Saccharomyces cerevisiae S288C: one gene and its partner. The gene in region 1 interacts genetically with each later gene. Each region holds a gene or a part of one and is shown on either strand. Other genes may lie near its edges.

Region 1 (4,364 bases):
CTACCTCTACTAAGGTTTCTGTCGAAGGTGTCAACGTTGAAAAATTCAATGTCGAATACTTTGCTAAGGAAAAATTGACTAAGAAGGAAAAGAAGGAAGCTAACTTGTTCCCAGAACAACAAAACAAGGAAATCAAGGCTGAACGTGTTGAAGACCAAAAGGTTGTCGACAAGGCTTTGATTGCTGAAATCAAGAAGACTCCATTATTGAAGCAATACTTGTCTGCTTCTTTCTCTTTGAAGAACGGTGACAAGCCACACATGTTGAAATTTTAAATATAATTATTTTAACGAACTTCTATAATAATATATATGCAGGTAAAATTATAATTTAACTACAGTTTCATAAGTGCATTTGTATTGAGCATTGGTTTTTTATTCGCATATTTATATCTTCATTGCGGCAATCACCCAGAGAAAGGGCGTGAAAAGAAAAAGGAATACATTATTTCAAGTTCCTTTGATCTTTCCTATAATGTAGACTTTCTTGGCGCAAGACTTGGATGCATCATACAAAATACAAATTGTTAAGCAAAAAAGTGTCGCTCTGCTGTAAGCTTTGTGATGTTATATTTGATCGTATGGTGAGGAAAAACAATACACCTCATGTTATATAATGATCGTTGTTTTAGGTGAGATGTGGAAATAGAAGAGAGATTTTTAAACAAAAAGTAAATGGTTTTAAACGTTGGCAATAACAAGGCCTGCTCACAGCAAATAAAACGGGAATAGAACAGGAACGGGAATAGAACAAAGATAAGAAAATTGAAAGTAGAAAAGACAAATAGTGAGAAACAAAATGCAAGAGAAAATGCATCGCTTGAGCCCAATGTTCCTACCAATATTAAGGGGATTTCAGGTATCAAAGTCGCATTGACGTATAAAATACTCCAAAAAATGCGCTCTGTTTACTTTGTTATCTATGAAATGAGGAAAATGCAACCGGTGAGTGTAAAAGCATCCTGCAGGAATTTGTTACAACTTCATCTCAGTTACCAACATAGCCAACGGACGTCGATATTGTCCTTTACCCCACTGGTAGTGAAATACTTTCGAGTAAATGTCAGGACGTTAGAAATCATCCGAGTCATGCTTCGACTCCATGTATTTTTATTCTCTAAGTGTGCTTTGGAGTTTCCCCGCGAGTTCTCACAGAATTGGCTTTACTGCCAAAAGTTGAAGACAGCATAGTCATTGGCTTCGTCAAAAGATCTTCATTATTTAAAGCAAGCAATGATCAATTCTAAGACGGGTTAACAAAATATGGACAGAGCATCTTCAAGCAAAACTAATGCGGCAATGTTAAGCTTACATATATTCGAACGGTAATAACATCGATAATACGGTTATAGCCACCAACTCTGCATTATAGAAATGAGAAAAGCGCCATAGCTATTATTTAACGTAACTTACCAGAAGTCCTTGAGCAGACGATTGAGCATTGAATAAAAAATAAAATTCTTGTAATTCTTGGAAGGAAGAACGACACAAATAGATAAATGGCGTATTTTCTGAGCAATGAACTGTGTTCCATCAAAAACATTTTATCGCACACCATAGGCACTTAGAAAAACAAACCTTTGTGCCAGTATTTGAATGAAAACACTTTGGTTGAAATGTATTGTGAAATTAATCATCGAGCACTTTACGGTTGGCAACGACACATTACTGACGTTCTTTCGCCGATTTGTTACTTTAATATATTGTACAAAAATGCATCAAAGAACATAAAAGAGAGCGATCGCACAATCAAACTTCTTTTGGAAATAATCTGTCATCAATGCTCCAAACATTCTACTATCACCTGTTCATGATATTATGGGGAGAATATGCCAAATGTATATGACACATCGCATACTTTCTACCTTTTTCAACTGGCTTGCTTCCTCTACCTTTCACTAAAATCTGGATTGCATCTACATCTATATAGTCAAAACCGGCAAGAACAGAGATTATGATACATGCTTCATGTTCCATTGATTAGAATCCACTAGTATTAGCTCGCTGTTCAATTTTCAGCCCTCTACGGACTGTCGTCATTCCTAAAGGACGGCAAAATTTAAAAGTGAAGGTAAAATTTTTAAATTCGAAAAAAGAGCCTACTAACACGTTTCTATATAATACATAATTGTGTGAAAGTTCATACATAATTGAAAGCAAGCATCCAACCAGCCCAATATGTCTGATTTGTTACCACTAGCTACCTACAGTTTGAATGTTGAACCTTATACCCCGGTTCCAGCAATCGACGTCACGATGCCCATCACCGTTCGTATTACTATGGCTGCTTTGAACCCGGAAGCCATCGATGAAGAGAACAAACCATCGACTTTAAGAATTATCAAAAGAAACCCGGACTTTGAAGATGATGATTTTTTAGGTGGTGATTTTGATGAAGACGAAATAGACGAAGAATCCTCTGAGGAAGAAGAAGAGGAAAAAACCCAAAAGAAAAAGAAGAGTAAAGGCAAGAAGGCTGAAAGTGAAAGTGAGGATGATGAAGAAGACGATGACGAGGACGATGAGTTCCAAGAATCCGTCCTTTTGACTTTATCTCCGGAAGCCCAATACCAACAATCTTTGGACTTGACCATTACTCCAGAAGAAGAAGTCCAATTCATTGTCACTGGTTCTTACGCTATCTCCTTGAGCGGTAACTATGTTAAGCATCCATTTGATACTCCAATGGGAGTCGAAGGTGAAGACGAAGATGAAGACGCTGACATCTATGACAGTGAAGACTACGACTTGACCCCAGATGAGGATGAAATTATTGGCGACGACATGGACGACTTGGATGACGAAGAGGAAGAAGAAGTTCGTATTGAAGAAGTCCAAGAAGAAGATGAAGAAGATAATGATGGAGAAGAAGAACAAGAAGAAGAAGAAGAAGAAGAACAAAAAGAAGAAGTTAAGCCAGAACCTAAGAAAAGCAAAAAGGAAAAAAAGAGAAAGCACGAAGAGAAAGAAGAAGAAAAGAAAGCTAAAAAAGTAAAGAAGGTCGAATTCAAGAAGGACTTAGAGGAGGGTCCAACAAAACCCAAAAGCAAAAAGGAACAAGATAAGCATAAACCAAAGAGTAAGGTTTTGGAAGGCGGCATAGTAATCGAAGACCGTACTATCGGTGATGGCCCACAGGCTAAGAGAGGTGCCAGAGTAGGCATGAGGTACATTGGTAAGTTAAAGAACGGTAAAGTTTTCGACAAGAACACCAGCGGTAAACCATTTGCATTCAAACTTGGCCGTGGTGAAGTTATCAAAGGCTGGGACATTGGTGTTGCCGGTATGTCTGTTGGTGGCGAACGTAGAATCATCATTCCAGCACCATATGCCTACGGGAAGCAAGCTCTGCCAGGTATTCCTGCCAATTCCGAACTGACATTCGACGTTAAATTGGTTTCTATGAAAAACTAGTACACGCGCTCGTACGGATAGATGTTTATATATATTATTCTTTTTACATAATATTGTAACCTTCTGTATGTAAATCCGAAAACATTCTATTTCTTTTTAGTATCTATTGCTCTTTATAAGCTTTTCATTTTACTTTTCTCCGCGGATGATACAAATAAAGAAGCTGTGTTGTATAGAAAGAAATATATGGCGGCAAAAAAAGCGTTATCTTCTTTCTGTTCCTATTTCACTGAGTGCTACTGGATGGTCGTCAAGAAAGGTGAAGAAATCTTCAAAGCAATAAGAATTCAGACATTGACGTTAAATTAGATTATCGCCGCAGCTGTAATTGCGGTTATGGCCTCTAGTATTTAGTTCGATGTTAATGAAATAAAGCGCAAGCTGACTGTGAACGATAACCGCCAGGAAGGCTAGACACAGCTCTTCAGCTAAACAGTAGCCGGAACACATATACATTAGGGAACATTAGAAATAAGGCTCTCGTTGATCATCCTTGTAACTGAAAATTAGAACCGTTAAACGCTGCTGATTGATGGATTCCAGCCGTTCTCTTCCAACCCCTTTTACCCCGATTGTTCGTCCACTATCATGACTTATTATCCACTAAAGTGGCGTTGGCTGTACATTCGGGTGATGGTAGTATGGTGAGCACATGCTTTAAGTCCGAGAAACTAAGCTACAAAACGGAATTTCAAAGGGCCCCATTTTTATCGGGTGGACTAAGGGAAAGAAAAGCCTTCTGGAGAAGAGTTGGAAGACCTCAGCGTAGTGCGAAGAAAACGTAGTGCGAGTCTCTACGCCCGCTCGTTTAAAACTCTATAGAACGTCCGAAAGAAAGGTCCGTACTAGCTATAGGATCTCTACTTTACCTATTATTATCGCTAGGTGATAGCTTATAAAACAATTCATCGGTTTCTTCCTCATTTTTCCTGTATCTTTTCGGCTATGAAA
Region 2 (5,729 bases), on another chromosome or scaffold:
TGGAGGCGTACCGGTAATACTTTTAAAAGAGGCATAGCTGGAAGAAAACATGGCAATATAGGCTGGTCCCATAGATCATTAAAAGCCTTAACCGGAAGGAAAATTGCCCATCCAGCTTATTCAAAGCATCTAAAGCGGTTATTACCCTATCATTGAAGGTGGAATAATTATGTTCTCCTCTAAACCAAACGCACCGTTAACCCCAAATCAATTGTTTGAGTATTTGCTTTCGGTCTTCATGTATATAAATAAGTATGAAACAATAACCATAAATTTATACAATCGATAATACCTTAGAGAATTCAAGCGTTGAAGTAATTAAATACTATTTCGTCAGGCGCTTGCAACCATCTCGACATCATAATCCTAACCCCTCAAAATGATTGAAAAACTTGTAAATCTTAACGCTCCTGTGATAGTCTATAAAAAAACTGTTCTTTATGGAAGACTTTGATGTATACATACATACATACATATATAAATGTTTTATCAAATCTGGCCTATTTTTCACTTTGGCTGTTGCCGGTAAATTCCTTTTCAATCCATTTGTGCGTGATGTTGTCCCTCTTCAATTCTGCAGTAGGGAAGTAATGATAATTCGTTTTCAGTGAAATAGCGAAGGGCACATTGTCGAAAGTCATTAACCTCATTTTACAATAACTATTATCAGGGATTGTTTTGACAACTTTCAAAAATGTATCTAGATCAGGTGTTTCAATTTCATTGACATGAGTTATGAAGTTTGTGGCAGATATACCGTACTGGAGCGCCGGTGACGATTCTCCCCTGAATGTACAGTAGACACCCTTTGGAACATCAACCATAGCTTGCAAAACAGCATGATGCGGCTTTTGTAAGATACTACCTGCAAATATTACAAAACGGTCGGTTTCCTGAACTTCCACGGTTTTAATTTTCAAATCAACAATATTACCATCACGAACAACTTTAAAATCTAACATGGCTGATGGCAAAATACCATCAGCTGAGCTTACAACTCCATTCAAATCATTCATTTCAGTGACTAATTTTCCGTTCACAGATAAAATGACGTCACCGGTCTCTAAATGAATCTTGTCTTCTGTATAAGAAACTCTAGAAACAGTGATAAACTGTAGCCTGTTATTTGATTCATGTTCCATACGCATGATCCATTCTTCGGGCACACCTCTAATTCTGGCTTGCAGAACGGAAATTGAACCGAACCCAGCATCAACTATACTTACTCTTGGTTTACCGCCATTTTTTAAGATATCTATAACTTCCCTACAGTCCATTATATCTAATCCCATCAAATAAACCTTTTCTTTATTTTCTAATCTTTCGCCTAAAAATGGAAGCCATAAACCTCTTACTGTACCATCATTATCTGTCAAAATACCGGAATTACATCTGGTGCTAACGTTGCAGTCGATAGATATAGCTTCTAAATTAGTGGCACGGTACCTCGGAATTAAATTACTTGGAATACTTACAGAGGAAATATCGGTGACAGTGGTCTCTGAAGTAACAATTCTATCATTCTGGGTAAAACCTATAAACTGAAGCTTATCACCACGTTTCATTCTGGTGGTAGATAGCTTGGGAGTGATTAGTGGAGCCTTTACTAACTCTGGATCATATTTAACAATAGCGAAGTTGTGAGTTGGATGGAGAAATTCTACTGTGGCTGGAACTACAAGGGAATCTGCAATGGTGACAAAAGTATCAAGACAATCATGTGGAACTACCCTTCTGGACACTAGGACATAACCTTTTTCAGCATCAATGATTAAGCCTGATGTTTTTAAAATATCAGCAGAAAGTGAATCCAATGGAACTGCTGCCATTGTAGCCACTGTACATAACGATGATGACAATTTTGCAACTTTTTCATTATTAACAGGAATAGGAATAATTTTGGCCGAACGAGGTTTCAACGCATCGGCTGGAAGTGGATCAGCAACATTTTTGTAATCCCAAATACCAGTTGTATCGTTCCTTGTGTAAACTCTGAATTCATTGCACCAATGACGGTCAATGTAAATAGAAGTAACAAGTGGAGAATGCTGATCTGTTAGATGGTGGTATCGTACAGTAACGCGCTTACGATCTGGAATAGTTTTCATAATTTCAATAAATGTATCTAAGTCGGGGGTTTCCTTATTGTCTATAGAATCCACAATCCAACCCACTCTTTCTTTTGAATCAAAGTTGAAAGACCCTGATGCACTACTTAAAAATACACCCCTGACAGGTAGCGCATAAAACCTTGCCATTTGATATGATAATTCATGAAAAGTCGCACCACAAACCTCTACATAACGATGAGGGGTGATAGCATGTAAATCACCAACAGTGCAGGTGACAGTACATTCGACACCGCCCCTTTGAATAACCAATTGGATTTCCTTCCCAACATTTTCATCTTGAATTTTATCCACTTGCATGAAAGAAGATATGGTTTCACCGTTTATTGAAATTAGAGTATCACCTTCTTTAATTTTATCATAGCCTGGGCCTTCTCTTAAAACGGTTTCTGCTACCAACAGTCCGATATTTTCGGGAAATTTAGCACGAGCCTCACTTTCTCTCTCTGAAGTTAAACCTAATCTTCTACACTCGTCATAAGGCTTCAGCAGCCATTGAACTTGAATCGTACCACGTGTGATAGGTTTGTTGGTTTGGATGCAAATTAACGCTCTAAGAATTCTATCTAACGGTAAAAAAAAATCAGTAGATGCCTCTGTAGAGCCACCTGCCTGTAAAGCCACAGCATACCCATCTATATTTACGACTGGAGAACCACTTGAACCGCCAGAAGCAGATGCAGCAGCTTGAATATATTCTGTATTGAAGTCATTGTATGTCAGCTCACCATATTCTGGAGCGTTCCTGTCAATTCTACTAATAAAACCTGCTAGGATACTTAATTTCTCACCGGCATCATTACCGACAACTCTAATTTCTGAGCCGACCTTAGCCAAACTTGGTTTTAGCGTTAACGCTTTGATCTTAGAATATTTTATGTTTTTCGGATCGAATTTGAGGAACCCAAAATCATGAACAGGATCTCTGTAAATTGGTATAACATCGCATTCTTCATGATTATCGAAAACTACGTAGCCTACGAACGGACCAGGACCAACGACGTGCCTATTGGTCAGAATTATACCTAATTTAGCATCCACGACAAATCCGGTAGCTTCAGATACCAAAGCAGAATCGCAATCGAATGGCGCAACTTGTGAAAAATGAATGGAAACCACTGATTTAACAACGTTGGAGATGGTATTTTGCCATCTTAGATAATTTTCTGAATCTGTGAGTACAGTGTTATTATTATTAGCAAAGTGCAACGGCTCTATAATGATTTCATGGTCTGTATATTCTTCCTCTTGATCTCCGGTGGCGCTTTCCAACTGTTTCCTTTTTACAAGCGATGATTCACCAGAAGTTCCATCGGAAATTTTAGAATGGTCTCTTTTCTTTATATTGCTCAACGATATGGTCATTAGTAGATCTAAAAAACCTTTACTGTACTCTACGTGTGTATTCAGAGTATAAATATCTTCTAAATAAACTTCCGTATTTAAACCCTCGTAGAACTTTTTTATTTACATATAAATTTTTTGAAAGTTTCATATCATCGCCTTGAGGAAAAAAAAAGAAAAAAAGAAAAATTATCATGTCACACGCTGAGATGGCGTCTAATAATGGTAGTGACAGTAAAATAATATTCAATTAAGAAACTTGTTAAATTTTTCTTGCCTCTTTCTAGTTTATCTATGATACATAGCATTTATTATTAAATATTTCAATCGTGACTCTAGGTTCTTGGATCTTGCTGATGCTGATGCTGATACTGGTGTTGCTGTTGCTGTTGCTGCAAAAGTATTTGATGTAATTCCATTACTTGTTGGAAATTACCATTTCCCTGAGGAGGTGCTTGAGGTGGCGGTTGGATGTACATTGGGTTTTGCATTTGATTCATGGGAGGTACGCCATATGGAAGTGGCGGTTGACTTTGGGTCATTGGCATGAACGACTGCTGTGTTGGCGGCGACATATTGTTGTATGCGGGAGGTAAGCTACCATATGGAACAGTGTTGGAGAATTGGGCCGGTGTCGCCTGCCCAAATGGTGGAGGTGGATACTGGAAGTTAGTCGGCTGAGGGAAAGGTGAGTATGGTGGATAAGGCATACCGTTTGGTTGTTGAGGGAAGGGATAATTATTTGCAGAAAACTGTTGTTGGTGGTGCTGTGTGATTGGCACTGGGGAGGAGCCATTCCGATTAGAGGTAGCACTGGATTCACGCTTGATATTTTCACGTGCGTTTCTTGATTTGTACCCATGTTGCATCGGAGCATTACTGCTCATGCCCAACGGCGGTACCAGTTTAGGTAAACTGTTGGCCTTGGGCTGCCGAGCTCTCTTTACCTTGACATTGTCACTATCGTTGGCTAGTTTGCGGTTGTCCCTTTTCTTTCGTTGCCGTTGCTGTTTCTTCATTTTCTTGAAAAGGGCCTCTTTTTCGTCGTCGGAAAATTCTTGTTCCTCTTCAGGTAATTCTTCATCGTACCCATTAGACGCATCAGTACCTTTGTTGCGCTTTAACTCGAAAGTATCTATCCAGTGGGCATCAGGGGTGACTATAAAGGCTTTCTCACCCAAACGCACTTTTAATTCATCGAATAAGTTTTTTTTTGAATCGGGCAACTTAATTCTATAAAATGGGTTTTGCAAGGGTCCAAACACCTCCGTCAACATCCCGATCAAAGTTCTATCCTCGAGACAGAAAATGGAACCCTCTTTTAAAACACGCTTTTCGCCCGACATCGTGGCGTGAATGATTATATTATTTTCAAATGCAGACTTCAAAACACCAATAGGAGTGATGATCGTTTTTTCTGAAATTTCATAATCTTCCGGTAGTTCAGGAACAGTTTCCTCTAGTATTTCGTTCTTCGATAGTATAGGACCGGAAGGTGAAGGGTCTTCGTCTTCGTCTTCATTTTCAATCGCGTCACCACCTTCGTCCTCTCCTTCAACGTCCTGATCTGCAGAATCATCCTCACTACCTGAAGAGCCAGAATCAGAATCAGAATCAGAACCGGAATCTGATTCGGATTCAGAAGAGCCGGATCCTAGGCCTGTTGATCTTTCTGCGTCTGCTACCGGTTCATCGGTCTTCCTCTCGTTCCCACCATCACCTAAAAGACCTAAATCAACATCATCCTTGGGCAATTCCACGTTCAAGTCCTGGTCGGGATTCTCCAAAGCCTTAGAAAACAAGTCATCGCTCATGATTAGCACTGTTTCGACGTGCTATATTGTGCTTCTTCCACTTTCATACCGCTTCATCCTACCTATCATCCTACCATCTTTTTCCTTTACCTTTAAGCTCATCGCCTGAAAAATTTCATGGCCGCAAAAAGAAACGCGCAGACCGTTACCCGAGTGGTAGTGCCTGACTCATTTATGTGCCAACTAAGCATTGCTCGAGAACAAACTAGTGAAAATGTAAACCAGGGAATTTATCATTTGGTCAAAGACCCTGACGAACTAAAACTGTCAAAGGCTGATAACGCAGTAAGAACAGACGGAGGCCTTATACCGCATCTTTGCAGACCACAGTTTCCTATATCTAGTTACAATAGCGCTTGCCGACGATAACCGAGATAACGTATCTTTGCCGCGGGCTATCTCGGCAATCTGCAAAAAAAAAAAACCCCCGCCGCTATTGAAG

The links.
Region 2: of FPR3 (region 1) and NMA111, extra expression of one rescues a mutant of the other (dosage rescue), as found in Saccharomyces cerevisiae (one study listed by BioGRID).

The regions. Positions count from the first base shown.
Region 1 is NC_001145.3:119,138-123,501, reverse strand, and holds FPR3 (peptidylprolyl isomerase FPR3), read left to right. Parts: upstream 1-2,177; coding exon 2,178-3,413; downstream 3,414-4,364. Other genes in the region: 60S ribosomal protein eL6 RPL6A, read left to right, coding at 1-275. UniProt on the Saccharomyces cerevisiae protein: Proline isomerase that belongs to an abundant class of enzymes that catalyze the cis-trans isomerization of X-Pro peptide bonds and can accelerate the refolding of proline-containing polypeptides. Specifically binds nuclear localization sequences.
Region 2 is NC_001146.8:392,450-398,178, reverse strand, and holds NMA111 (Nma111p), read right to left. Parts: upstream 3,495-5,729; coding exon 501-3,494; downstream 1-500. Other genes in the region: mitochondrial 54S ribosomal protein bL35m MRP35, read left to right, coding at 1-156; NAF1 (RNA-binding snoRNP assembly protein), read right to left, coding at 3,809-5,287. UniProt on the Saccharomyces cerevisiae protein: Nuclear serine protease which mediates apoptosis through proteolysis of the apoptotic inhibitor BIR1.